Linked DNA regions of Ovis aries. The protein of the gene in region 1 interacts with the protein of each later gene in a pairwise test. Links are inferred from orthologs where the notes say so. Each region holds a gene or a part of one and is shown in the gene's direction. Other genes may lie near its edges.

Evidence for each region.
Region 2: the proteins of CREB3 (region 1) and SLC29A1 interact in a two-hybrid assay, tested with the Homo sapiens proteins (2 studies listed by BioGRID and IntAct). The two-hybrid records come from large-scale screens. The link is inferred for Ovis aries from reciprocal best matches to the Homo sapiens genes CREB3 and SLC29A1.
Region 3: the proteins of CREB3 (region 1) and LAT interact in a two-hybrid assay, tested with the Homo sapiens proteins (2 studies listed by BioGRID and IntAct). The two-hybrid records come from large-scale screens. The link is inferred for Ovis aries from reciprocal best matches to the Homo sapiens genes CREB3 and LAT.
Region 4: the proteins of CREB3 (region 1) and P4HA2 interact in a two-hybrid assay, tested with the Homo sapiens proteins (2 studies listed by BioGRID and IntAct). The two-hybrid records come from large-scale screens. The link is inferred for Ovis aries from reciprocal best matches to the Homo sapiens genes CREB3 and P4HA2.
Region 5: the proteins of CREB3 (region 1) and SYNGR1 interact in binary tests that used the Homo sapiens proteins (3 or more experiments, as listed by UniProt). The two-hybrid records come from large-scale screens. The link is inferred for Ovis aries from reciprocal best matches to the Homo sapiens genes CREB3 and SYNGR1.
Region 6: the proteins of CREB3 (region 1) and CACFD1 interact in a two-hybrid assay, tested with the Homo sapiens proteins (2 studies listed by BioGRID and IntAct). The two-hybrid records come from large-scale screens. The link is inferred for Ovis aries from reciprocal best matches to the Homo sapiens genes CREB3 and CACFD1.
Region 7: the proteins of CREB3 (region 1) and PTDSS1 interact in a two-hybrid assay, tested with the Homo sapiens proteins (2 studies listed by BioGRID and IntAct). The two-hybrid records come from large-scale screens. The link is inferred for Ovis aries from reciprocal best matches to the Homo sapiens genes CREB3 and PTDSS1.

The regions. Positions count from the first base shown.
Region 1 is NC_056055.1:52,808,361-52,812,391, reverse strand, and holds the start of CREB3 (cyclic AMP-responsive element-binding protein 3), read left to right. Parts: upstream 1-1,164; 5' UTR 1,165-1,310; coding exon 1,311-1,448; intron 1,449-1,563; coding exon 1,564-1,711; intron 1,712-1,786; coding exon 1,787-1,854; intron 1,855-1,965; coding exon 1,966-2,055; intron 2,056-3,526; coding exon 3,527-3,633; intron 3,634-3,741; coding exon 3,742-3,810; intron 3,811-4,031. UniProt on the Homo sapiens protein: Endoplasmic reticulum (ER)-bound sequence-specific transcription factor that directly binds DNA and activates transcription. Plays a role in the unfolded protein response (UPR), promoting cell survival versus ER stress-induced apoptotic cell death.
Region 2 is NC_056073.1:17,720,836-17,724,141, forward strand, and holds the end of SLC29A1 (equilibrative nucleoside transporter 1), read left to right. Parts: intron 1-120; coding exon 121-199; intron 200-461; coding exon 462-559; intron 560-776; coding exon 777-885; intron 886-1,136; coding exon 1,137-1,222; intron 1,223-1,604; coding exon 1,605-1,804; intron 1,805-2,123; coding exon 2,124-2,235; 3' UTR 2,236-2,750; downstream 2,751-3,306. UniProt on the Homo sapiens protein: Uniporter involved in the facilitative transport of nucleosides and nucleobases, and contributes to maintaining their cellular homeostasis. Functions as a Na(+)-independent transporter.
Region 3 is NC_056077.1:26,377,475-26,381,648, reverse strand, and holds the start of LAT (linker for activation of T-cells family member 1), read left to right. Parts: upstream 1-1,336; 5' UTR 1,337-1,646; coding exon 1,647-1,749; intron 1,750-1,865; coding exon 1,866-1,971; intron 1,972-2,097; coding exon 2,098-2,132; intron 2,133-2,388; coding exon 2,389-2,458; intron 2,459-2,578; coding exon 2,579-2,643; intron 2,644-2,734; coding exon 2,735-2,912; intron 2,913-2,982; coding exon 2,983-3,083; intron 3,084-4,174. Other genes in the region: SPNS1 (protein spinster homolog 1), read left to right, coding at 1-169, 449-543. UniProt on the Homo sapiens protein: Required for TCR (T-cell antigen receptor)- and pre-TCR-mediated signaling, both in mature T-cells and during their development.
Region 4 is NC_056058.1:19,976,373-19,980,579, forward strand, and holds the start of P4HA2 (prolyl 4-hydroxylase subunit alpha-2), read left to right. Parts: upstream 1-1,361; 5' UTR 1,362-1,404; intron 1,405-4,207. UniProt on the Homo sapiens protein: Catalyzes the post-translational formation of 4-hydroxyproline in -Xaa-Pro-Gly- sequences in collagens and other proteins.
Region 5 is NC_056056.1:216,623,842-216,627,235, forward strand, and holds part of SYNGR1 (synaptogyrin-1), read left to right. Parts: intron 1-2,340; coding exon 2,341-2,562; 3' UTR 2,563-3,394. UniProt on the Homo sapiens protein: May play a role in regulated exocytosis. Modulates the localization of synaptophysin/SYP into synaptic-like microvesicles and may therefore play a role in synaptic-like microvesicle formation and/or maturation.
Region 6 is NC_056056.1:2,591,319-2,594,601, reverse strand, and holds the end of CACFD1 (calcium channel flower homolog), read left to right. Parts: intron 1-531; coding exon 532-639; intron 640-1,163; coding exon 1,164-1,254; 3' UTR 1,255-2,744; downstream 2,745-3,283. UniProt on the Homo sapiens protein: Transmembrane protein which mediates synaptic endocytosis and fitness-based cell culling.
Region 7 is NC_056062.1:80,865,702-80,869,835, reverse strand, and holds the start of PTDSS1 (phosphatidylserine synthase 1), read left to right. Parts: upstream 1-1,257; 5' UTR 1,258-1,382; coding exon 1,383-1,561; intron 1,562-4,134. UniProt on the Homo sapiens protein: Catalyzes a base-exchange reaction in which the polar head group of phosphatidylethanolamine (PE) or phosphatidylcholine (PC) is replaced by L-serine. Catalyzes mainly the conversion of phosphatidylcholine.

The DNA.
Region 1 (4,031 bases):
CATCCCTAAACCTAAAGTTCATTTGTCACTTGATTCCTGATTCACCCCTTTCTTGTTTATCCCCTGTACTGGCTATGCTAACCTTCTCTAATCCCTAAATCTGGACTTCTAACTTAGTTTCTGTTGTTGACCCTTAACCTGAACTCTAATGTTGGTCGTTATAGAAAACAAAATAATGCCCTTAATCCAAACCTCACCTACACAAAACGCACCTCACACTAATAAATCTAAATTTTAACCCCAGCTGCACACTCCTAAAGCTAACCTTAACTCCTAAAACCCAACTCCACCTAATCTCCAACTCACCCATTCCTGCTCACGTACCCGCTATCAGCTAACCTCAAAGCCGATCCCCGCCCTGCGTCACACTGCCACCCACTCCTCACCCTCCCTCTAAACTATCCTAGGCCGAGGACTGCTCCAGGAAGGGCCTGGCTGCCGAAAAACTGCCTATTTAACTCAGAGCACAAGCAGAGATACACCGGACGCGAACCTCTCCAAGATGACCCGAAACAGACGCAGAAGTCAGGGGCCCTGCCCGCCCGCCTCCCAGGCCTGGTGTCGCGGCCCCACCCTGAGGCCCCAGTTCGCCCGGTCCGGCCTACCTGCGCTGCCCGGCTCTGTGCCCCGCCCGCCGGCCCGCTAACCCGCTCGTTCTCCCGGTGGCTCTCGGGCTGCGGCCTCGCCCTCCCTTCGACACTCTCGGCCACTTCCGTCCCGGGAACGTCCCCCACCCGCGGGCGGCGCCCTGGGCCCGCGCTCTATGGTCGCGGGCACTGCAGGAAGCTGCTCTGGCCCCAGCTCTCGATGCTCGGGAGCCCGCTGACGACCGGCAGCCCCTCCCCAGCCGGAAGCGAGGGTGCGGTGCAGTCCCGAGGAAGCGCCAGAACTGCGCCCTAGTTCCCTTTTAGGCTGTAATCCTTCCTTTTTCTAGCCCGGGGCGGAGCCGCTTCCTCAGAATGCCCGCCCTCAGGGACTGCGGAGGCGGAAGGCACGTCCCCTCTATTTGCATCGCGCCCTGGACGTGGCGCGTACAGCGGCAGCCTCCGCGTCGGGGTGGGGTGGGGGACTCCAACTCCCGGCATGCCTCGCGGGTAGGTGCGTCACTTGTGTTCTGTTGGAAGTCTAGCGGGGAGTGGAGTCTGGAAGGCGTGTCCCGGTTTCAGAGCCTTCGCCAGCAGCTAGGAGGAAAACGCCGCTGAAGAGCCGATAGGTGGGGCCGACTGACAGTCCGTCGCGGTTACGCCTGGTTGGGGATAGGGTCCGGGTGGCGAGGTGAACTCCTGTGTTTCTGCGCATCTTTTCCATAAATGTCTCATATGGAGCTGGCGTTGGACCCGGGTGACCGTGACCTGCTAGGCTTTCTGCTAGAGGAAAGCGGTGGTTTGGGTGCGGCGCCCGACGAGGCCTTGGCGTCTCCGCCGGATTGGGAGCTGCCACTTTCTGAGGCGAGTGGGGGGCTCTGAGTCGGGGAGGCGTGAGGCGGGTTTGTGGGCGGGGTAGGGGTGTCCCTGAGGCAGGGGGTGGTGATGGTCAAAGCCTGTCAATTTGAACCCTGTGCAGTCTCTGAGCGATTGGGACGTGGAGGATTTCCTGAGCTGCCTGCCGAGTCCCCCATCATCGTTGAACGTTTTCAGCAGCTCTAACTCCTGTCTTGTCCAGCATGACCACACCTATTCTCTCTCACAAGAGCATGTCTCCATAGATCTAGGTAAGCCTGAAATAAGTGAAGTTTGGGAAAGGAGAGGACTCCGAGGCCTGACTACTCATATTTTCCCTTTTGCAGATAATGAGAGCTATGGAAAAGAGGGGACTCAGATGACTCCACTGTGTGTGGAGGAGCCGGCAGATCAGGTACTTGACTTATAGGAGGGTTATTTCCGTATTGCGCGGGTCGGGGCAGTATTCCGCGTTACTTTCTGAAATCCCTTTGCAACTCTGCTGCCCATCTCTCCGGAACCGCAGGAGATTGCTAGGCTGATACTGACTGAGGAGGAGAAAAGGCTGTTGGAGAAGGAGGGGCTTACTTTGCCTGGGATGCTTCCACTCACTAAGGTAAGTCTCCCATCGCGGGGACGGGGGTTGTGAGTTCCAAGTAGGCCAGTTCTGTTAATTTTGTATCAGTAACTTGAAAAAGAATTGAGGTGAGAGATTAGCACATTTTTGAGTAGGAAGCTGGGGCATGTGGTTAGTATACTGCTTGCAAGGACAGATCCTGGTTTGTAGTGCTTTTATAAATTTTGGTGTTCTTTTTAACTAAGAATTCAAAATTATCAGGGTAATATTAGTAAAGGGATTTGGAAAGTACTGTACAAGCGCGGGGCTCTGATACTTATATTTCACTGGTTTCATGCAATTTACTTGTAGCTGAATAGTAAATCAAGTATTAGAGTAGTATAACAAGTAGTATAACAATTAAGTAGTATAACAAGAGTAAATGTGAAATTTGGAGTTTCAAGCAATGAGAGGCAGTTTCACATGCACAGTATTGTGATACTATGATGAAATCAATGTCTGTTAACAGAAAGGTTAACAATTTTAATTTCTCAAAAATATAAGTTGAGGCAATCCCCTGGCAATCCAGTGGTTAGGACTCTGTGCTTTCACTGCTCAGGGTCAGGGTGCAATCCTGGTCTGCACCAGGGTGCAATCCCCTGGTCTGGGAACTGAGATTCCACAAGTGCGAGGTGTGGCCAAAAAAAAGTACAAGTTGAGTCAACAGTGTGATATGGCTACTAAGGAAGAGAATGGGGTTTAGAAGCTGTATCATCAGATTTAGTTGTTGTTGTTTGGTCGCTAAGTCGTGTCCAACTCTTTGTAATTCCATGGACTATGGCCCCCAAACTCCTCTGTCCATGGGATTTCCCAGACAAGAATACTGGAGTACGTTGCAATTTCCTTCTCCAGGGGATCATCCCAACCCAGGGATGGAACCTGTGTTTCCTGAGTCGCCTGCATTGTAGGCAGATTCTTTACTGCTGAGGCACTGGGGAAGCCCAGTTGTATCATCAGATACCAGTTATCTAATAGTGTTGCCACTAGAAGGGCAGTAACTATCTTGTTTTCTTTTACATTGGCCAAAAAGCTTCTTAAGTTTTGAGCCTATTATCTTTGACAGATATTAAGAAGATGCAGTCCATCCTGAGAAGAGATAAGATGATGAGTTAAAATTTTTGCCCAGTTTTTTTTTTTTTTTTTAACTCTGAAGAAATGCCAAGTGCTTTAAAATAGCTGAAGACCTTTGTTCTATTATGGCCCCAGAGATTAGGTGCTAGGTAAGTCCAACAGGTAGAAATAACAAAGGCAGATGTTGGCTCATAAGGAAGGTTTTAAAAAAAAATTATCTAACAAAATTGTTACAATGGTTTGGCTTGTGAGGACAGAAGCATTCAGACAGAAGCAGAGTGCCTATTGGTCAGGGAAATTGTAGAAGGAATCTCTGCTTTGAGAAGATTGAACTCGGTTGCCTTCAAACTCTTTGGTCTAATGTTCCTCTGATGGGATCCCTTTTCCTGTCTTCTCCCAGATGGAGGAACAAGTCCTGAAACGAGTGCGGAGGAAGATTCGAAACAAAAAGTCTGCTCAAGAGAGCCGTAGGAAGAAGAAGGTGTATGTGGGGGGTTTAGAAAGCAGGTATGAAAGGGAGCTGGACTCGGGGGTGGGAGAAACAGGTAATTGGAAGTGTGAGGTTTTTGAAGGGAGGATACAGGCCATGTCCCCACATCCCTGTTATTCCTCCAGGGTCCTGAAATACACAGCCCAGAATCTGGAGCTACAGAACAAAGTACAGCTCCTGGAGGAACAGAATCTGTAAGCAGCTCTTTCACATCAGGGTTTGCTCATCCCTCCCGCTTACTACTGTCTCAGTCTTTCTCCTGCTCCATATTTGATTTGTCACCGGGCATCTCTCACATATGTCTGATGCTTGGTCTTTAGTGGGTCTCTGATTCCATGAAGCTCACAGTAATGGGGAATAAATTCACAAGTATAAGTATCAAGGAGGAAGAGAGGGAGTAAGACCTCATGTGGCA
Region 2 (3,306 bases), on another chromosome or scaffold:
TTTGGAGTTCTTGGCCGGGGGGAGAAAGGGGTCCAGGGCTCCAGACCAAGGGGACGAAACCTGTGGGAGGGAGAAGCTCTGGAGATTCTGCTTCTGAATCCACCTTCCTTCCCTTGATAGGAATTCTACCGCTATTACCGGCAGCTCAAGCTCAAAGGGCCCGGGGAGCAGGAGACCAAGCTGGACCTCATTAGTAAAGGTCCGAAGAACCCGAGGAAGCTGGGGTGGAGGATGGCTGCTCAGCAGGGGGGCAGCATGAGCTGTGGGCAAGAATGAGCTTCCTGTAGTGAGGGATAACACCAGTAAACAGGGCTGGGCTAGAGAAGCTGGGTGGGGCTGTGCACTGGTTTAAGGGGGTATCCACCCCCAGCTGACCCCAGCCCTTTTGGGGATTGTGTCATTTCCCGTTGCTCTGTTCCTCCCACAACTTGAAGACCCTCTCACCACCTGTCACCCCCCAGGAGAGGAAGCAAAACCAGGCCAAGAGGAGACCCGATTCTCGGCCCCCAGCTCTCAGCCCACCAAGGAAAGCCACTCTGTCCGCACTATCCTCAAAAGTGTATGTAGGGCTGGGGCATCCTGCCTCCTACCCCTCCCATCCCTTTTTTTCTGATCCTTTCTCACCCCATGCCCATCCCCTCCCTTTCTGGCTGGAGACTGGCCCCTTTGCTGGATTTTCCTGCATGTATGCACGCCTGTGTGTGTATTGGGGAATCTTGGTTCTTTAATGATGCACAGCCACCACGAAGACACAGACCAGGGTCCCTTTCCTCCAGATCTTGGTCCCGGCTTTCTCCGTCTGCTTCGTCTTCACCATCACCATTGGGATATTTCCTGCCGTGACAGCTGAGGTCGAGTCCAGCATTGCGGGCACCAGCGCCTGGAGTGAGGAAACCACGGGTTCCCAGGATGGGGAAGGACAGGGGCTTGAGAGCAGGGCTAGGAGCCTGGGCGAGGGGAGCCTGGGCTGTTGCCTCCGCAGCCAGGCTCTGCTGGCCCACTCACCCTTCCCCGGCCTGGAAGCACCTTCTCCGTTTCACAGCTGGGAAACCCAAGTCCCAGGGAGAGTCAGGGTTGCTAGATCCTGCCTTTCTTGGACCCACTAACCCTCTCCTAATCTACTCTTTGTCCTCCAGAGGCCTACTTCATTCCTGTGTCCTGTTTCTTGACTTTCAATGTCTTTGACTGGCTGGGCCGGAGCCTCACAGCCATCACCATGTGGGTAAGTGAAGGAGGGTCACCAAGCCCCTGTGAGATGGGAGAGTCCAGACTGAGACACCCAGGGAGGGGACCAAGAAAGTATGGTGGAAAGCGGACCATGCTTTTTTTAAAAAACTGAGACATAATCTTTGTATAGTACGGTGTACAAGTTGTAGATGTACAGTTTAATGACTACACACACATAAACATACACACGCTCCTGGTGATCACCACCCAGGTCATGCTGCAGCACATGGCCAGAAGGTCTATCTACCATGGCCACTCCCGATCAGTACCCTACAAGGGTAACTAGGCTTGGAGGTTTCAATTCAGATCCTGAGGGCCTCCGAATGGAGCCCCGGGGCCTGGCCCAGCCTGACCGTGGCGTGGCCTGGTCCCCGCAGCCTGGGAAGGACAGCTACTGGCTCCCGAGCCTGGTGCTGGCCCGGCTGGCCTTCGTGCCCCTGCTGCTGCTGTGTAACGTCCAGCCCCGCCGCAACCTGCCTGTGATCTTTGAGCACGACGCCTGGTTCATCATCTTCATGGCTGCCTTCGCCTTCTCCAACGGCTACCTTGCCAGTCTCTGCATGTGCTTCGGGCCCAAGTGAGTGGGGAGTATGGTGGCCTCAGGCAGGGCCTAGTGCTCCAGCTGGGGACCCTCAGCAGAGGGAAAGTGGGAAGAGGGAGACTCCTGATCATGGAGCTCAGGGTTTCCAGGCTGAGAGAGGAGCCCACTGGCCCTCGGGGCCCAGGCAGTGGGAGGGGAGGAGGGGCTCCCAGGGAAAGGTAGAGACAGCCTCAGTACACACCCCCTCACCAAGATGGAGAGGAAGACAAGTGGGTCAGCAGAATGAGATGCTCTGGGTGGGGCAGGGGACTGGGGTCAGGGATGTCCTAAGGTCGGCTCGCCCTCCCTCCTTTAGGAAAGTGAAGCCGGCTGAGGCGGAGACAGCTGGAGCCATCATGGCCTTCTTTCTGTCTCTGGGCCTGGCCCTGGGGGCCGTCTTCTCCTTCCTGTTCCGGGCAATCGTGTGACCGCGGATGGACGGCAGGATGGCACCAGCTGCCTGCTCCTGCCTTCCCCTTTGGGGGTGGGCAGGGGTCCTCTGGAGGTTTTCCTGTCTAGCCATCTTCTGCTTGCTCATGGCCTGTGCTGGGCCCGGCATCCAGGCCCCGAGGAGAGAGCTCTGTGGATGAACATGGGGACACTGTGGGCTGGAGGGTCAGAGTCAAGGGAGGGGACACAGTCTCTGCTCACGCGGACCCCCCACTCTTGGCTCTGACCAATGCCTGCCCGGGCAGGGGTTCCTAGGCTCAGAGAGTTGTGTGTCTTGTCTGTCTGCCTGTACCAAGGGTGGCCGGGGGCCAGGACTGCTTGTTCTGAAGTCTGATCTGGGATTTCTGCAGTCCCCTTCTCCCCATGTGCCTCTTCCTCCCACCTCTCCATGTTCTACCCATCATGAACACTGTACATTTGCCATTATACTGCCTTTTTTTATACTCAAACCAGGGGCCTTCAAAGGCTGGTTAAATAAACTTTTTTTTTTTTCCTCCGTGGCTCCCTGTGTCCTCCAGCCATGGGTTCACACCCTGGAGAGGCTAGAGGGATGGCAGCCTGAGTCTGGGGGGATGAGCATGACCCAGATGGGCCTTGGCCAGCACTGGGCCTGGGTCCAAGGCATTAGGGATGGGGTGGGTCCTCTTTAGTCTCAGAGGCATTACAGTGCCTCCTGCTGGGGCCACAGAAGAGAGACAGGCCTGGATCCAGGACACCCAGACTGTTGGCTGAGATGGAGAAAGGCTATTTCCTTTTGCCATTTCATTCCTCCTTTTGGAGGCCTGGGGGTGGAGACAGTGCGCCATCTTTCTTTTGTTTTGAGTCGCCCCCTCCACTCTGTCCTCACCCCACAGCCTGGGGAGGGAGCTCTCTAAAAGCAGCCAGCTCCACCTCCCACCCCCACCCCACCAGCAGGAAGAGGCTGTAGCCGGAGGGTTCTGCCCTGCCTGGCACCAGGCCCTGACACTGAAGTCAAGGCAGACTTCTTGGCGAACAAGGGGCCTGTGTGTCCTCAATGAAGCTGGGCCCCTTTCTCCTCCCAGACTCTG
Region 3 (4,174 bases), on another chromosome or scaffold:
TCTGACCGCCTGCGCCGGGACTGGCCCCCCTCCTTCTTGTCCGAGTTCCGGGCCCTGCAGTTCTCACTCATGCTCTGCGCCTTCGTGGGGGCACTCGGGGGCGCGGCCTTCCTGGGCACCGCCATCTTCATCGAGAGCGACCGCCGGCAGGCTCAGCTGCACGTGCAGGGTCGGTCGGGCCTCCCCTCTGTCAGTCCACAGTTCCCTGTCTAGCTTCATGATGCTGCCTGCTTGTCTGTCTGTCTGCCCGCCCAGCCCTGTGTACCTGGCCTCTCTCAGTCCTCAGCCCTCCCCTTCCTCGGCTTCAGGGCTGCCTGACCCATGAGCTCATGCCCTGCTGTGTGCCCATCAATGCTGCCCTGTCCATTTGCCACTGCTTGTTCGTCCCCTTCCTGGGCCTGTGTCTGTCTGTCCATCCAGCCCTGGCTCTGATTCTCTTCCCTGGCAGGTCTGTTGCCTGAAACCGGGCCCACCGATGACCGGATTGTGGTGCCCCAGCGAGGACGCTCCACCCGGGTCCCTGTGTCCAGTGTGCTTATCTGAGGGATCACCGCTTGCTATCTGCAGACCTATCACAGCTGGCCCTGGGCCCACCCCAGGAGGTGCCCAGGCCCCAACTCCTCGGCTAGCCCGTTTTCCGGGAGGGGCCTTGGGCCGTGTTCCAGCTCCCACACACTACATGGGTAGCCAAGTGGGGACACTGGGGGCTCGGGACGGGGGAGCCCCTGCCCCTGGAGCAGCCCTGGGGGCTCGGTGCTATTTGTAACTGAATAAAATTTGTAGCCAGAACCCCAAGTGCCTGCTGGAGTCTCTCTGGGTTAGGGACCTCTGATCTCTGGATGGTGGGGGATGCCCCCTCTCTACCCCCAGGGTCCCAGCGGCTGTCGGGTGACCCCCGTGGGCCCTGGGGCAAAGCCCTGTCCTTCTGGGCCGGTGAGCATTGGGGTGGAGTGAGCTGGCTTTGTGTGACCGTGAGTCATGCCCGTGTCTCCCCTAGAGCCCGCCCTCCGCAGGCCAGCCAGGGCGAGGTGGGGGTGGGCACACCCAGGGGCCCCTCAGAATTCCCGGTGTCGGAGCCTCTCTTTGCTGCCTCCGTGAGCCACAGCTGTGGAGGCCGCGGCCACTGACTGGCCTGGAAGCATCTTTCCCTCCTCACCCCCGCTATGAGTTGCCCCTTGCCAGGGAGACCAGCTGACCCTTCTGGAGGGCCCAGGGTGGCTCCTGAGGTGGCCTCCTCCCCCTCCTCACTGGCTGAGTGGGGGTGGGAAGGGGGCGGGTGCAGCTGGCTGAGCCCCGATGATTTCCTGCCCTCACCCGGCGCTCACCACAGCTTCCTGCCACAGGCAGGCAGGCGCTGAGGAGAGGCGGGCGCGGAGCGAGGGGCAGGTAGGGCTGGGGCACAGGGTCTGTGTAGGGGTGGCTGGTGCCCCAGACTCCAGCCCAGACCCTGGCCTGACCACCCTGGGGTCCAGGGTCTTCCAGAGCCAGCGCTGACACCCGCTCAGCCCAGCGAGGGGAGGGGATCCAGAGGAACCCCTGCCTTCAGGCTCTCAGCCGGCCGCCGGTACCCTTCCCGGCCTGGCCCTTGCCCGCTGCTTCTCTGTGTGGAGGGGTGTGCAGCGAGCAGCTGGGCCTGGTCCAAGCAGATGGAGGCGGTCAGCCTGCCTGTCTACGTGCTGGGGCCCCTGCTGCTGCCTCTCTTGGCCGTGTTGCTGATGGCTCTGTGTGTCCGTTGCCGGGAGCTGCCAGGTGAGTGGGTGCCAGTGGGTTGACCAGATGCCCAGACACACTGCTAGGGATCCTCACTCCATTCTCTGACCTCTTCCTTCCCTTTAACTGTCTGTAACTCTTTCTTGCACGCGGAGACGCTGAGAGCCCCATACTCCATCACCCTCTGCCCTCGTCACCCTCTTTTCCTGCCTCACGGGCCCTCTCTTCCCCAGGCTCATACGACACTGCCGTCTCCGATAGGTGAGTCTGCCTTGTCGACCCCGTTCGACTCCCTCAATGCCCCGTGTGGGGCTGGGCCCCTGGGGGCCTGGGGTGGGGTCCAGGGCCTCTCCCAGCTGCTGACCTGAGCTCTGTCTCTCCTGCCAGTTTGACCCCAAGTAGCATCATGATCAAACTGCCTCGTGAGTACATGAGTGTCCCCTCCCTTGGGTGCGGGGAGAGGGTCCCCTGGCCTGGGAGAGCGTGTGCTTTTGTTCATTTCCCCGCTGTGGCCGCCCACATGGCCTGAGCTGGGGGTGGGGAGGGAGATCGTGTCTGCCCGCCCAGGACTCTCCAGGGCCCTGGGGGTGGCAGGGGTCAGTCTGCCTTTCGAGGCCTTGTCCAGGGTAGGGGTGTGAGGTGTGGAGTCATTCCTTCAGCTTGGTCCTGTGTCCTCAGCCACACTCGTCCCACGACCATCGACCACTCCCTACCCGCTCCCGAGCCAGCCAGACCTGCTCCCCATCCCGTAAGTACCAAATCCCCTCTTTAACCCCTCACCTCCTTGGATTGGGGGCCTCTTGCCCTGTTGCAAGCCCTCTCCCCCTAGAGCCCCACCCTAGTATGACCTCTGACCTTTGACGCCCAGAAGGTCCCCGCAGCCCCTCGGAGGCTCCCACCGTATGGCGTCGTCCCGGCAGGACTCAGATAGCGGTAAGCCTGGAGCGGGACCCACAGGGCTGGGACCACTGGGTAAAGGCCCCCTCCGAGCTGACTCAGTCTCCCTCTTGCGTTCTCTCTGCAGCCAACAGCGTGGCCAGCTACGAGAACGAGGGTGTGACTGGGACCCCTGTGGCCCCGGCTGGGAGGCGGCTGAGACCCGTCCTGGGCTCCGCTGACCCTGTGTCGTTACCCCCAGAGGCAGCCTGTGAGGATGCGGATGAAGATGACTATGACGAAGACTATAACAATGAGGGCTACTTGTGAGTGGCCAGGTGGGAGGTGGGGGCCGAGGCCAGGGCTCCTCGCTCACCTGACCCTTGACTCCCGCAGGGTGGTGCTTCCTGACAGGGACCCGGCCACCAGCACTGGCAACGCCGTCTCACAGGCTCCTGCGCCCAGCAAACCCGGCCTCCGAGACAGCGCCTTCTCCAGTGAGTCGGCCGTCTGACCACTCCCTGCCCCTCCGTGCTGCGGCTCCTCGGTCTTCCCTCTCCTCCTGGATCCTTGCGCCCCTCCATCTTCTCGCTTCTCTCTTTCTAGCCCTCCTGTCCTTCAGCTAGGGGACTTCCGGCTCCGATCTTCTTTTCTTTTCTCTCCTCTTCCCTCTTGATCGTTTGCCTTTTTGTCTGCAAGATTTCCTTGACTCTATTCTTCTTTGGGCTCCGAGCTTTTGTCTTTCTTGTCCAAAAGCTCTTTCTTCATCTCTGAATATTCCTTTCTCAGAGCCTCCTCTCTTGTCTTATGAAGGTGATATCATCTTGCAGATCTCGAAGGATAGTGATGATCAGCTGTCTTTTTTGGGTTTCTTTGGAAAGTTTTCTTCTGCTTCCAGTGTTGTTTCAGTTTCCTTTGGGCTACTTTTCGCTCTTCGTTTTGGTTTCATCCTGCCTCTTGGAGGCTTTTATCAGTGTCTTGTGATCTTCAGTGTCCGTTACTCTTTTCCTTCTATGCTTGCTCTGTGCCATCGTGTCCACACCCTGGCTTAATTTGCCATCCGCATCATCCCTAACTCATGGCCTCTCTCTTGGGCCCCAAACCATCTGTCCAAGTGCTTATTTTCATTCATTCATTCACTCACTCATGTTCGTCCATCTACTCACACAATTCAGCCATCATACTTACTGGTTGCCCCTGAAATAATCACTGCTAATGAGTCTGAGTGAACTCCGGGATATGGTGATGAATAGGGAGGCCTGGCGTGCTGCGATTCATGGGGTTGCAAAAAGTCGGACACGACTGAGCGACTGAACTGAACTGAACTGAATGAGAAAAAGTCATGATTAAAGCAGCTCGCATTACTGAGGACCTCATACATTCGCAGCTAAAGAGTTTTATGTGTATTTGTTGTTGTTATCTAGTCACTAAGTCATGTCTGACTCTTTTGCAACCCTGTGGACTGTAGCCCAGCAGGCTCCTCTGTCCACGGGATTTCCCAGGCAAGAATCCTAGAGCGTGTTGCCATTTCCTTCTCTGGGGGATCTTCCCAACCAACTTATTAATATTAAACCTCACAATTCCCAGG
Region 4 (4,207 bases), on another chromosome or scaffold:
CACATTTCATCACCGGGAGTGCCGGATCCAGGAGCTGGGGACAGCCTGAATCCCTTTGGGAACCTGGTCCTGAAGGTGGATCCTAGATCTTTTTCAGGTCCTTCTCCACTGTCCCCTTCCCTGATAACCCCTGATAATCCAGCTCCAGGGCCGGGTGACCCCACCTCCCAGTCACCTGATGGTGATGATGGGGAGGCGAGGGTAGGAGCGGTATATCCAGCAGGACCACCGAGGAAACGGGCCTGAGCTGGGGCCAGGGGAGTCGGCCAGCATCCAGGGATGCTCCCCCCACCGCACTAATCTCCGGTGGCGCGCGCCTCTCTAGCCGCCCAGGGGGCGGGGGAGGAGGGCGGGCAGAGCCCCACAAGGGAGCGCCGAGGGGAGGCGGGCGCCGCGTACGTGCGGCGAGCGGCCGGCCGCATGAAGGGCGAGGGCGGCCGGCCCCCGCCGGGTCCCGGGCCCGCTCCCTGCTCCCCGCTGCCCCGCGGCCGGGCGGCCCGGGTCTTCCCGGGGGTCGCCGGCGGTGGCGCCCCCTGGCTGAGGCTGTCGGGGCGCGGAACCGGGGGCCTGGGACGCGCGGGGGGTGCTGGTGGGAGCGGGGCTGGGGGCGGGCGGGAGGTAGGGAGCCCGGAGGGAGAGGGAGGTGGGGACGTGGCTGCGGCTCAAGCGGGCGGAGCCCGGCAGCGGCGGGAGGCGGAGCCGCCCAGGAGGAGGTGCCGAGCGGGCCCGGCGCCGCCGCGGGAGGTTCTGGAAACGCCGGGAGCGGCGCGTGTTCGGGTGAGCGTCCCGCCTGCCTGGCAGCCGCGGGGCTCTGGTACCGGCCGGGGTCACCGGGCCGAACCTTCTGCCCGCGCGGGGCCGGCAGCTGGGGGCCGGGGGTCGCGCTGTCCGGGCCGCAGCCCCGCGCCCTCCGCCCTGTTTCTGCACCCGCGTGGGTTCCTGTCCTGCCGCCGAGTCCCCTCCCCGAGCTATGGGCGGTGAGGTCAGCGGCGCCTTTCCTGCCGGTCCCCTCGGGGCGGCCGGACCGGGTGGGGAGCGTGGCCGCCCCGAGGGTCAGGCTCCTGGGAAGGGGCGGCCCGGCCCCAGGGCACCCGGAGCTTGGAGGAGGCAGGGGCGCCGGGCAGGCCTCTAGGGGCCGCTTGGTGTTAGGTCCACCCTCCTCCATCCAGAGGCTTGGGAGTCTGTAGCCTTGATCCTGTTTGGTTCCCGTTAAGACAGGCTATTGGATGATAAAAGTTTCTTTTTTTCTTCTCTCCAGTTTTGCCTCAGTAGCCGCGGAGACTTGTAACTAGTTAACTAATTCAAGAAACGAACCCTTCAGTGTTATCAGAAACTGCAAGGAGTTGCTGGCCTAGTGGGGCACGCGGACTGGAGACCAGGAAAGGCCAGGCCCCGGTCAGTGTGGTGAGTGCTGTGCTCAGAGGGAGCACTGGACTGTGGGTACTTGGTAGAGGACAGGATGCTTCAGGCCAGAGGACTTCCTGGAGGAGGTGACCCATGAGCTGGAGTCGTCAGATGAAGGTTGAATAAAGGGTAACCCAGACAGAGGAATAGCCTGTGTGAATGGAAGCTGACCTGGGCACTCTAGAGGAAGCAAGGAAATGGGGGAAGGGACGCTTTAGTGGATAGCTGCATAGAGACCCTGTCCAGAGAGCTCAAGTGAGAAGATAGTGCCTGGTATTGTGTCCTATATGTGGAGGGTGCTCAGTGAATCCTTGCAGCATGAATGTGGATGCAGGAAGTTTCCTTTTCCAGGGCAGAGGCCCCTGGTCTCTGTTTTCTAATTGACACCTTTCAGATGGAGAAGAATATCAAAGTCCCTCCCAAGGCTGAGGCTGGTGTCTTCTGCTGTAGAGTGATACCTGAGGCTTGTGCTGCTTGATGTAAACCGTCTGAAGCTCAACAACCTCAGCCCTTCTGGAGGAGATCCTGGCCCTGAGATCAAGAGTTGGGGAACATTGCTTTGCAGCTTAGGGCATTCTCAGATGTTCCTGATTTTGCAGAGATCCACTGTCCCCCTAAGAATTTAGAGGACGGTTTTGCAAGCTGCTGCCCACGTCATATCTGGGATAGCAGATTCCATGATTTAATTCTCTGTTCAATGAACCGTGGTTTCCTTTGGCTTGTGCTCAGAGAGTCTCTGAAGCTTCCAGGGTGCAGGTTCTCACTTTGTTCTGGGCTTCCAGGTCCAGCCTCTCTGTTCACTTCTCCCTACTCATAGGATATTTGGGCTTTGAATCCTTTTATTCTTGAGCCTCATTTGTAGACGGCCAACTCTGTCCACTGTGTGTCCCAGCGAAGGAAGCCACGTTGCAAAGATGGGGTGAGTTGGCTGGGGGCCTCATCCCAGAGATGCTGTCATACTCGGCCACCCTAGTTCTCTGAGAGATCTGCAGGCAGACATGGTGGCAACTGAGTATTGTCTGTGGCTTATGATAGGCCCTTCTATCCTGTCCAGTGCTCTGAAATGGTGTACCCCAGAGAGTGCCTGCTTTGTCACTGTTTTAGCCTGGCCGATCTCTGTTCATTCCTGGAGTATCTCCTGTGTACTGGGCTTTTGCTTAAAGTGTGCCTGGGGCTGGAATGAGGGAGGAGGGAGAGGAGACAATGATGGTGCTATAATCCTTGCCCATGGGTAGCTCATAATCTCTCTGAGATTGCTGCTTCAGGCTGGCAGCTGGTCACATGCCAGGGAGGAGCTCAGAGTGTGAGCGCTCATGAGGAGCGACTGCATGGGTACAGCCCTGAGGAATGAGTTGGGTAGCAAATCTAGGGTCTGCTCATTTCCTGAGAGAACCTCCCTTTTTGACTCTGCCCTCCCACATCCTTGGGAGGGCCTGAGACTGGATGTTAAGACCTTGGCCAGTGTGTGGCCACGCTGGCCATGGTGTGCGTTGCGCTGTTGGGTGTGTCCCTGGCTCCTGGGATCTGTAGAAAGTTTAATTTTATGCAGATGGAGGTTGGCAGGAAATGGTGTGATGCAGGCACGTGCAAGCCCAGACAGGGTGCTGGAGTGAGAGTTAAACTTCGAAAACTCTAGCAATTTTTTTGGACTTTTGAAGTGCACCAGGGTGGGACATGAGTCTGTTCTTGAGCAGAGAGGGCTGGTAGCCCCTGTGGTCACTGGGTTTGAGCTGCGGATGTGGAATGAGGGATATCGTTTTTATTCTCAGAAGGAGCAGAGGGGCTGAAAAGTCTGGATTAGACTTCTTGGAGATCTAGGAGAAAGCATGTGTTTAAGTGGTGTCATTTCAGGGCAGAGGGTTATAGATGTTTGGGTAGTGAATTCTCCAGCTCACTGGATGTGACTCTGATCACAGACCAGTATCTGCTCTAGACGTTTCAGGAAGTGTTTGCTAGAATATACCCTGCTCTGTACCTGGCACTCTTGAGGGCCCAGGGTGTGGCCGTGATCCTGAGACCTGGTATTTGTAGGAACTCAGAGTGTGCAGGTCAGAGACATAGAAATAGGTGAGATTCCAGAGTGTAGATCCGGTCACCTGTTTTTTTGCCAGAGAACTTTCCTTCCTTGGTGAGAGAGCCAGTGATTGGCCAGTTTTCAAAGTTAGCTTCCCGACGGTCAGTGTGCTGCTTTAGGCCTGACTCCACCCTCTCCTGAATCTCCTTTGACACTCCTGGGACATGGAGGTTCTCCGATTTCTGTTTCGTTTTCGTCTTCACTGTCTCATAGGCTGGACCTTCTTTCTCTCCAGGGGTCAGCGGCTTCAGGTCTGTTGCCGTTCCTCTACTGCCCTTGGTGCTGATGACTGGTGGAAGTTGTGCCTGGTGCTAGGCTGCCCACTGACATCTGTCAGCACATTCAGTCTTCAGAACAGCCCTATGAGATGTTACCACTGTTAAATAGATGGGAAAACTGAGGCTCCAAGACTGTAACTTGGAACTGTAACTCCTTAGACTGTAACTTGTCTAAGGTTCTGAAACCTGGAAGTGATTGTGGAGCTGAGTTTTAACTCTGGGACTATCTGACTCCAGGGTTGGTGTTCCTGCTCGACTATATTGTCTTGTCCTGAGCTGGGCCACTTGGTCATCTGTGAGTGCGGTGATGTCTGGGCAGGACTGACTGCTCACTTGAACTGGAGGCACCATGTTTTATCTTTCTGAGCCCATGTTGCTCTCTGCCTTCTGGTGGGATCCAGCCATGGGTATCATAAAGCTGCTTTGTGAATCACAGTAAAGTCTTTGACTT
Region 5 (3,394 bases), on another chromosome or scaffold:
GCCCTCCCACAGCTGCAATATGAAGGCCAATTTTACAGTCCCGGTGGAGGCTGGCTGCCAAAAGGGGCCTGGCCCAGCACAGCAGGGGACTCCTGGTCTGACTCTGCTCTCGTGTGCTGTGGGACCCTGGGCAGAGCCATGCACCACTCCGTGCCTCAGTCTGCCTCCCTGGATTGAGAAGTGATAATGAACCAACCTCTCAGGGCTGTTGTGCAGATGAAACGAAGGTTGACACAGGGCTTGGCACAGAGATGCTCAATAAATGTCAGTTCTTTTGTTCATTCATTCATTCTCTCCAAGGAGTCAGGGACACCTTCATAACTTCTTCTTTGGGAGTGATTCCTGTGTGGTGAATCCCTGATCTTCCAAAGGACCTTGGCCTCCAGTCCTGCACAGGTTCGCTCCTTGGGGCCCTCAGCTGCCCTGGAACACAGACCGGCCCCCAGGGCAAAGCCCTGCGCAGTGGAGATGCCGCAGAGAGTGCGCCTGCTCTGAAGAAGTAGAGCCAGGTGGACCACTAGGTCCCTGGGCTCTGAACAGAACTCCCAGCTTCACCTCTGCACCCAGGCCCAGCAGGGGCCCACACCCCCTCCACGGTTCCTGTCTGTGGCTCTTTGAACTGGATGGCTCAGAGAGTCCTTAACTCAGCTGGGTTGAAGGAGTGACTGCAGAGATAGCACTAGCTGCCTGTAGCCAGAGTCCCGCCCTGGAAGGGTCTGCAAAGGTCATCGGCTCCAGGCCTCTGCCTCCGTGCAGGATAGCAGTAGAGCCAGGGAGCTCGGGAGGACCATGTCTGCAGAAATTCCTCTCAGGAACTGATTCATCCATTCCCTTTGTGCTCTTTGTGGACTCGCTGATGGCTCAAGGGGGCTGGAGACGTGGTCCCTACCCTGGGTGGGGGAGGGGCTTCCCATCTCCCTTCCCCAGGCCCCTGCATCTGAGCACCCTGTAGCCAGGACCTCATAGTAACATCATGGAAAATACGAAAGGGCCGCTCCTGATTTCCTCGGCCTACCTCCTTGAGGTCTGGTCTGCCTTTTCCAGGCCCCTGGCACTTTGCCCCTGCCTCTCACCTGTTGGTCCTCTCAGGTTCCTGGTTGACTTAGTGCCTTGTCAGCTGGCTGATCAAAAGGAAGGAGATGGGGAGGGCCCTGGCCTAGGAAGGGGCAGGACCCCTATGTTCAGATCTGGGTTCTGGCACTGACTCTGCCATGAGGCCCCCTTTTCTAGGCCTCAGTCTTCCTGGCCCCCACACAGAAGTATGTAGAACATAAGCATTTTCCCATCACAGGCAGATGACCTTGGTTGGGAAGACCTCTGGAGAAGGCTTTCAGCATAAACCTGTAAACACTGTCTTTTAATGACAGGTTTAACTTATTCCCTAGCTTGGTGTGATCAGTTTCATTGTCCTTAATAATAATGTAATTGCTTTTACTTAAAAAGGGTTTCCCACCTATGTGTATATGCTGTAGACAAGTCATTCCCAACTGAGTTGTATGTAAAAAGGGCTTCAGTGGTCAGATAAGTGGTTGCTTGCTTGGGGATCCCAGCATACATGAAATAATCAGAGCTCTGATGACTCCTGTGGTCCTCTGTTTAACTCAGTTTCCCAAACTTATTTGATTAAGCATTTCAGTTAGAATTAGGTTCAGCAGCAAATGACAGAAATCACAAATGACAGTGATCTAAAAAAAAGTCTATGTCTGGGAAGACAGTCCAGGGCTGGCATAAGTGACTCCGGAAGTCTTTAGTGACTGAGGCCTCTTCCAGCCTTACAGTTTGGCTCGTGGACCTCATGGTCCATTATGGCAGCTACAGTGTCAGCTCTCACATCTGCATTCTAGGCATCAAGTCAAAGGGTGAGAAGAGAACTTGGGGCCGACCCATTGGCTAGAGCTTAGTGATATGGCTATGCCTAGCTGCAAGAGGGACAGAATGACTTTTAGGAGAGGCCGACATTTATCTGTCCCACCAAGAAATTTTTTTCTCCATCCCATCTAACATCCTAAGAACACAGTTGGAGAAGGATATTATGGGGCTTAGGTCATTTTAACACTCCAGAGTGGAGACTCTAGAAATTTTTTTTGCCCTCAGTAACCTTTGGCGTTAGGGGTCATCAGGTAGGTGATCTCCAGACTTCTTATGGGCTGGACAGTGTGGTTCTGGGCTGGCTTCTAAGGACAGCTTTCCTCCATCCCCCCTCAAGCGTGTTTTGAGGATATTTAACCCTCTACTGTCCGTGTCCTGTGGACTAACCTCTACTAACCCAGTGCTCTTGTCTGTCTCTCCCCTAACCACCCCGTCCCGCCTGTCCTTGTCCCTGCCAACCCCCGTCCCCAGGCGGGCCAGGCTGTGCTGGCCTTCCAGCGGTACCAGATTGGCGCCGACTCGGCCCTCTTCTCCCAGGACTACATGGACCCCAGCCAGGACTCCAGCATGCCTTACGCCCCCTACGTGGAGCCCAGCGCCGGGCCAGAGCCCACCAGCATGGGCGGCACCTACCAGCAGCCGGCCAGCGCCTTCGAGCCCGAGCCCCAGGGCTACCAGTCGCAGGGCTACTGAGCCACAGGGACCACCTGCCCCCCGCCTGCCCCTGAGCCACCCCAGCCGCCCCCTGCCCCCTCCCTCCACACCCAGCCCCCCTGCTCCCTCTCTGGCTGCCCTGCCCGGCACCTCCAGGTGGTTCCACTGAGGTCCAGGGCCACTCGGGTGGGCGGGGCAGTGAGGTGCTGGGGGTGTCCACACGTGTGTGCAGGTGTGCGGTGCCCTGGGGGTTGAGTTCGTTCCTTGTCTGTGAGTCTTCATTGAGCACCTACTGTATGTCAGGCCTGTGCTTGGCACGAGTGCTAAGACAGATGGTCCCCGGAGACGAGGAAGAGGGGATGTGGAGGAGGCCCTGCTCTTAACCAGAGGTAGGAATGGAGAGAATCTTCCACCTGGAGGATGCTGGGAAGGTTTGACTGCGGGGTGTGAGTACCGCAGGACACTGGGGGCTGTCATCTGCTAGGAGTGACACCCCCGCCCTGCTCGGAGTATTGGGCCGTCTCCATTTTATGCTTGAGGAGACAGGCCTGGCGAGGTCAGGGTCACTCAGGCAGCCAGTGATAGAGGTGGGGCCACCACAGGCTGCCCGACTACAGAGCACCTTTTGTCCCCCAGGGTCCCCACCATCTCCCATCCCTGAGCCCGGGGCTCCGCCGCTCAGTGCTACAGTCCCTCTGGGAGGCCTTGGGGACCTCAGCCCATGAGACACCCTGATTCTGCTGCAAGCCAGGGGCCTGCTCTGCCCCGACTGTTCCGCCCAGCGGGACAGCCCTGCCTCCAGGCCCCTCTCCCCACATCCCGCTGGCCTCTCCCCTGGCTGCCTTCCCGGGCGAGAGAGCCGAGAGGGCTG
Region 6 (3,283 bases), on another chromosome or scaffold:
GACCCTTTTAAAAATCTTCTTTTTTTAATAATCTTGCTTGTGTTTTGGTTGTGCCAGCCCCTTGTTGCTTTGTCTGGACCTTCTGTAGCTGCAGCCAGGCGGGGCTGCGCTTCTGTCGCGGTGTGCAGGCTTCTCTTGCTGCAGAGCATGGGCTGTACGGAGCGAGACCTCAGTAGCTGTGGCCCATGGGTTTCATTGCTCAGTGGCATAGGGGACCTTCTTGGATTAGGGATCAAACCCGTGTCTGCAGAATTGGCAAGGGGGATCTTTACCACTGAGCCACCGGGGAGGTCTCCCCACAATCCGATGAAAGCCTCGGGTTCTCTCCCCAGTGCACAGAATTCTGCAGACAGGCTCATGGGTGTTTGAGGACTCTGTGAAGCTGGATTGTGAGCCTGTGTCCCAGCTGATGCCCGGGGTCCCTTCCTGTGCCCGCTGTCCGGGCAGGGGCTGGGTGAGCCTGGGCAGCAGGAAGTGGTGGTGTGGTCATGGGTGGGCGGGCCTGCCCCGTGACCTCTGCTCCTCCCGCAGGATGGCGGTTGTTCCCGTCGTCATCAGCCTGACCCTGACCACACTGCTGGGCAACGCCATCGCCTTCGCCACCGGGGTGCTGTATGGGCTGTCTGCGCTGGGCAAAAAGTGCGTACGCTGGTCCCCGCCTGGCTGCAGGGGGAGTGGGGGTGGCCTCTCCCTTCTAGAGCCTCTTGGGGACGCAGGTCTGGGAGCGGCCGTTTACCACCGTCAGTGACCCTCATCAGCGCCTCCGGGGCGTCTGAGCTCTTAAGGGGTGGAGGCGGGAGAACTCACGGGACCCCTGGGGCACAGAGTTGGCAGGGGCGCAGGGGCACAGCTCCTGGAGAGCCTCTGCCCATCGGGCCTGCTCCCGGCCTGGTGTTCCGATGCCCCCCCCAGTCCCGCAAAGCACAGCCTGAGGGCCCCAGTCCTCCTCAACTCACGTCCCCAGCAGTCCAGGCCACTCTCAGAGGCGACAGGATGGGTCTCTGCCATCCTCAGTGACAGGGTCTCATCTGGGGAAACCAGGGGGCGTGGCAGGCGCTAGGCAGGGCCCCCCCAGGGCCCCAGGCCAGGAACGGGGCAGAGGCTGGGCGGCTGCGTGTCTGGGGTCTGTCCCCCGTGTGGCGCTGACTGCCCTGTCTCCCCAGGGGCGATGCAATCTCCTATGCCAGGATCCAGCAGCAGAGGCAGCAGGTGGACGAGGAGAAGCTCACAGACGCCCTGGAGGGGGAGCTGTGAGGGAGTTGGGGCCCTCCTGCCCCCGCTTGCCTCCTGGTCTGAGTGAGCTTGTGCCGAGGAGCATGGACCCCGAGGGGTCTGGGGAGGAGCCCACATCTGGTTCTCTCAGTCCTGCTCACCTGTCCCCACGCCCGGAGTCCTCTCTCTGCCCCCCGCCACGCCCCGCCCTTGGCATCACCCTGAGCCAAGTGCCAAGGGGCAGGGTGAGGGCTCGGAGGGCCTCACCAGCAGCAGCAGGGTGACCAGAGGGAGCCTCGGGGTGACCAGCTGCAGGGCTCTGCACAGACACCCTCCTGGCCCCACTGTTTCCAGCTGGCCTGGCTTGGCCGGCCACAGGCCACGGGGTGGATTTTGAGACTTCGAGTGGCTGGCGGGACCACCCACTGTGACCGGCTGGAGGCCTGGGAGGAGCTGCTCCTGGGGATGTGGGTGCCATCTCCATGTGGGGGTACATCCGCTCGGGCCTCCTGGCCTCCCAGGCAGGAGCATACCCCGTGAGCTGAGCTGCCTGGGCCGCTTCTGTCTGGCCTTCCACCACCGCCCAGGCCCTGCCAGTCTCCTCCATGGGAGCCCCCAGACGCCCCTCCAGTGCCCCGGCCGGCAGCCCTGGCAGCCTGACCGCTGGCTGGGGTGTGCTCCGGCCTCTGGTCCCGGCACCATGGACGAGCACAGAAGCAGGCCTCTCCCCTGGGCCTGGCCCGCCTGGGCCAGCCGTGCGCGGCTCTGGGGCTCCACCCCTGCTCCTCCCAGGAGCCTGGGGGGCTGCGCCCGCCTTCTGGAGCCAGCCCCAGGGCTGCACCCAGTCTTTGCTTCCAGATGGACCTTCATCTCTGGGGGTTGCTAGGGTTGGCGGCTGGGAGGCAGGCCGTGTCCCGGGGATAGCAGCATGCCCCCAGCCCTCAGCTGGGCTGAGCTCTGGGGTGGCAGGGTCTACCGTGCGGCCAGCCCGGTGTGACACGTGCCTTCAGGGGTCCTCTGGGACCATCTTCCTTAGGCCTGCGCCGGGGTCAAAGGGCTGTGGGCTGTAGGCAGGGTGTGTGCGTGTGTGTGTGCGTGCGTGTGCGTGTCTCCTGTGTGTGCCGTGGATCAGACTGTCTACCTCCCTGGAGCAGCGAGGGCCCTGCCCACCTCCTGGCTCATCCTTCCCCAGGAAGTGGGGCTCTGGGGTCACTCCTGCTTCTGCTGGGTCTCCCTGCTGAGAGGGGTCTCCCTGCTGACGGAGTCCTTCCTGCCGATGGGGGTCTCCTTGCTGCGGGAGGGAAGAGCTGGCTGTGTGTGGAGCAGGGTTGTGGCTCTGGCCTGTGAGGAAGCTGGGCGGGTGTTAGGGAGGCCCTCCAGCCCCTGGGTCACAGGCTAGAGTGGGCAGGTCACCCACCGAGGTAGCCAGGACTTGCCCACCCTGGGGGTCTGGGCTCTGTCCTCCCGTGCTCCTTGTCGACTCTCCGTGTCTGGCTTGTGTTTTGAGCAATAAAGCCCGGTGGCGGTCTGTACGCTTGCTCCCGTGCTCTGCTCGTTACCTTTTCCCTCTGGTCCAGAAGGGACACCCCGACCCTAGAGCAGCCGAACAGGGGCCCCCGGCCCCGGGGGAACCCACCAGGTCATCGGGGTGCCATGCAGCCTGCTCCCAGCATCTCAGACGGCGCAGGTGGCTCTTCTGAGCGCACAGCTAGGAGGAGCTGGAACCTCACGGCCGGGGAGACCCAGCCCTCGCCCCTTCCTTCTGCCTCACTGTGGGCAGACTGGGGTGGCCTGGGGTAGCAGGCTCTGGTGACCTTGGCTGAGTCTTGGGTCTGGCTTGGCTGCTGGCGGGGGGCTCCCCCACCGGGAGTACTCCCCACTCCCTCCTCTCATTTATTGGTATAAATAGGGTGAACACAGCTCGCCCTCAATCGCTTCCTGTTCCCAGAAGCGGGGTGGGTGTAGGAGGCAGAGTCCATGCAGGGTCCTGTGCCCTGGCCGGTGGGCGTCCAGCACGTCCCCTGTGGTGTCCATAGGCCTCACAGGTGCAGCTTCCTGTCCTGGTCCCCAC
Region 7 (4,134 bases), on another chromosome or scaffold:
CCAACCAGTCCATTCTGAAGGAGATTAGCCCTGGGATTTCTTTGGAAGGAATGATGCTAAAGTTGAAACTCCAGTACTTTGGCCACCTTATGCGAAGAGTTGCCTCATTGGAAAAGACTCTGATGCTGGGAGGGATTGGGGGCAGGAGAAGGGGACGACCCAGGATGAGATGGCCGGATGGCATCACGGACTCGATGGACGTGAGTCTGAGTGAACTCCGGGAGTTGGTGATGGACAGGGAGGCCTGGCGTGCTGCGATTCATGGGGTCGCAAAGAGTCGGACACGACTGAGCGACTGAACTGAACACATATAGACTAGTTCTCCACTGTACACCTTAGTAGTTTCATTGGCGCTTAAATACATTCGACGAGGGTGCAAGATTTCGACCTCTGGGAGGCTTAGATCAGGAGATTGAAAGATGGGGAAGAGGACGGCTTGGGAATCAGGGGCCTCGGGAACACGACCTGACCCCCCACCCCCCCCCGACCCCCCACCCCCCCCCGACCCCCCACCCCCCCCCCCGACCATTCTACCAGGTCCGTTTTAGGTTCCCCCAAAACCAACTTCCGGAGGAAGCCCCCCTCACCACGTAGACCTCCTTCCGCGTGTCCCCCCCGCCCCATCACCCAGCGCCCCCACCGACCGGGCAAAGCGCGCTAAACACACCAGCGTCGCGGCGCGCCCTTCTCACCCGCCAAGAGAAAAAACAACATCGCTTACCCTCCGCGGGGCCGCGAAGGCCTACGGGGCCACGCGGTTCAGGGGCCCGGCCTAGAGCCGAGAAGGAGTAGGGTGGTGGGGGCCGGACCTGGAGCCCCCGGGCAGGGAACGCGCCCCCTTTACCTGTGGCAAGGCCTTCGCCGCCCGCCCAGCCGGACCCCGCGGGCCGCCCCTCGGCGCCGCTCTGCCAGCCGGCGCTAGCTCTCCCGTCGGCCCACGTGGGCTGCGGCCGGAGTGGGCCAGACCATCGGCGCGGCTGCGCGGGTGGGGAGAGGGCGGCGCGCGGCGGAGTGGACAGAGCTGGCCGCAGGGGGCACACGGTCTCCCTCCCCTGTGGGCGCCGCAGACCCTTGCGATGGGCTTGGGAAGGCGCCGCACGTCTCTACGGACGCCCCTCCCGGGATCCCGGGCCGGGCGAGCCGCCTCCACCCGCAGCCCGAGGCCGCGTGGACCACGCCGGCCCCGCCCTCCTGCGCCGGCCCCGCCTCCCCCGCGCCGGCCCCGCCCGCGGCTCGCCCCGCCCGAGCTGCTCACCCAACCCGGCCCCGGCGTCCGCCCGGCAGCCCGCCCGCCCGCTGCGGCTCGTCCGGCCCCCGCTCCCCGACCCCAGGCTCCCAGCCTCCGCGGGCCGGGGCCGCGCCGCGGGACCGGGAGGCGGGCCATGGCGTCCTGCGTGGGGAGCCGGACCCTGAGTAAAGATGATGTGAACTACAAGATGCATTTCCGGATGATCAACGAGCAGCAAGTGGAGGACATCACCATCGACTTCTTCTACCGGCCGCACACCATCACTCTGCTCAGCTTCACCATCGTCAGCCTCATGTACTTCGCCTTCACCAGGTGCGGGGCGGCCCAGGCGCGCCCGAGGGCGAAGGGGAAGGGGCTGGCTGGGGACGCGGCGGGGCTGGGGGCGGGGAGAGCCATGGCCGGGAGAGGAAGCGGGCTCGTTCTGCTCCGCGCGCGGGCTCGCCCGCCGGCGGCTCTGTCCCCGAACACACCCAGCTTCGCTCCCCTACTGCTCCTCGGGGACCGGCGCTCGTCCCTTCCCTGCGACCCACGCCCATCCTCCACCCACCCTCACGCCTGTCCTCATACCGCCTCTCCCTATGCAGCGCCTCGGGCCACCCCGGGAACACGCGTGGCCCGGCTGGCGCGATCGCCCTCCCTCCCTCCTCCCTGGCTCCCAGCATCGCTCTCCTCTCCACGCATCACGACACCGGCCCCCTCCTCTCGGGCCTCCGTCCCCGCCTAGCACACCGCATGATTCATCTGGTAGGCACCACTTACAGCACATGTCCCCGCTGCAAACACCCCAGTCTACGGGCGTCTTTCACGCGCCATGCCCAGGCCCAGGACGTAACCCAGACCTTCCCCGCCGAACTCCTCCAGGGTTCAGCACTACCTGCCCACAAAAATGCACTCCACTGTGCGTTGTACGCCAGTCGTCTCGCATAACCCTTCCTGCAGCCCCAAACACGACCGCCTGTACCACAACACAAACTGCCAGCCATGCGCACACACATCACAGCCAACATTCCAGTACTGCCACACAGACACCAGCCCATTACACAACACACGGTGCCGGCTCTGTTCTGTTCTTATCCCGGCATACATGCTGAAATGAGACATTGTCAGGCCACTGTAGCAATGCCCCGTGCCTTGTAGATGATATGGAAAGGGTTAAATAAAACACGCACACCACACACACTATAGCACAACTCTCTTAACGCCTGAAAACATACATGCACACTCACTCAAAGCACTTCTGATGTACACCTGTGCCTAGGAGCTACCCCGTCCAACTCTTGTTGGCCCATGGCTTATAGCTACCTCACTGAACATGAGGTCCCTCAGCCCCAAGCCAAGGAACTGATTCATGCCTAAAGGACAGGTATACCTTGGGTCCTACTTAATAAGGGTTCATATTTTCTGAATGAACCTCTTTAACGAAAAAAATGTGTGTTTATACCAACCATGCTTAAGCACTAACCTAGAGATGTGGAGTTTTGGAGGCAGACTAGTGGTCGCAAGACTATTTGTGTGACCTTGGTTAAGTTGTTTAGCCTTTCTCTGAGCCTCAAGATTCTCCTCTGTATAATTGGGATAAAATAGGTCCTTACCTTATATGGAGTTAGAGAATTAAATGAACATGTGTGAATGTATTTAACAGAGTACCTGGCACATGATGCATAGTTAATGTCAGTGCAGTTCAGTTCAGTCATGTCTGACTCTTCGCGACCCCGTGGACTGCAGCACGCCAGGCCTGCCTGTCCATCACCAACTTCCGGAATTTACTCAAACTCAGGCCCAGTTCAGTTCAGTCATGTCTGACTCTTTGCGACCCCCCGGACTGCAGCACGCCGGGCGTCCCTGTCCATCACCAACTCCTGGAATTTACTCAAACTCAGGCCCACTGAGTCAGTGATGCCATCCAACCATCTCATCCTCTGTCATCCCCTTCTTCTCCTGCCCCCAATCCCTCCCAGCATCAGAGTCTTTTCCAATGAGTCAACTCTTCGTATGAGGTGGCCAAAGTACTGGAGTTTCAGCTTCAGCATCATTCCTTCCAAAGAAATCCCAGGGCTGATCTCCTTCAGAATGGACTGGTTGGATCTCCTTGCAGTCCAAGGGACTCTCAAGAGTCTTCTCCAACACCACAGTTCAAAAGCATCAATTCTTTGGTGCTCAGCTTTCTTTATAGTTCAACTCTCACATCCATACATGACCACTGGATAAACCAAAGCTTTGACTAGACCTTTCTTCTCTCCTAATATATTTATCCAACAATCAGTGGTTTTCAGCCCATCCACAGAAACTGTACGGGAGTATATTTGGTGACCTCAGCATTGAGGGAACTTCTGATATTTAGCAGGTGGGGGTTAAGGATGCTAAATGTGTAAACGCCAGGGATAGCATTTAAGACAAAGAATTGTCCCTGACTCACAGGCACACGTGAGCACTTACACACTTGTATGCATGGCAAGTGCCAATGGTATCTCCCTTGAGAATCAATGCAACTTTTTCAGATTTTCATAAAACTGATAATGTCCTCGTACATCACACTTGTTCCTTTCCTCCACAATCCATTTAACTCTCGGTTCTTATTTTGTAAGTGTTTATCTATTTGTGTGAATCTATCTAAAGGCACAAAGCATATGAAACAATTAATGATTGAGGGAAACAGCTACTTTTATGGTAAAATATTCTGTGAATTCTCTGCTGTGGAGTAAGGACAGATATTTTCAGAGTATCCAACTAAGAATAAGCTTTGGAGAGAAGTCTTGTCCCTAATTATGGTTATCCTCAAATACTTATCATGTCATTTGATTTTACCACCTAGTATCTGTGTCTGTGTGGCCACTTAATATTGCTTAGCCCTTGCTTGCTTATCAGTACATAGGGTGAAAATATTT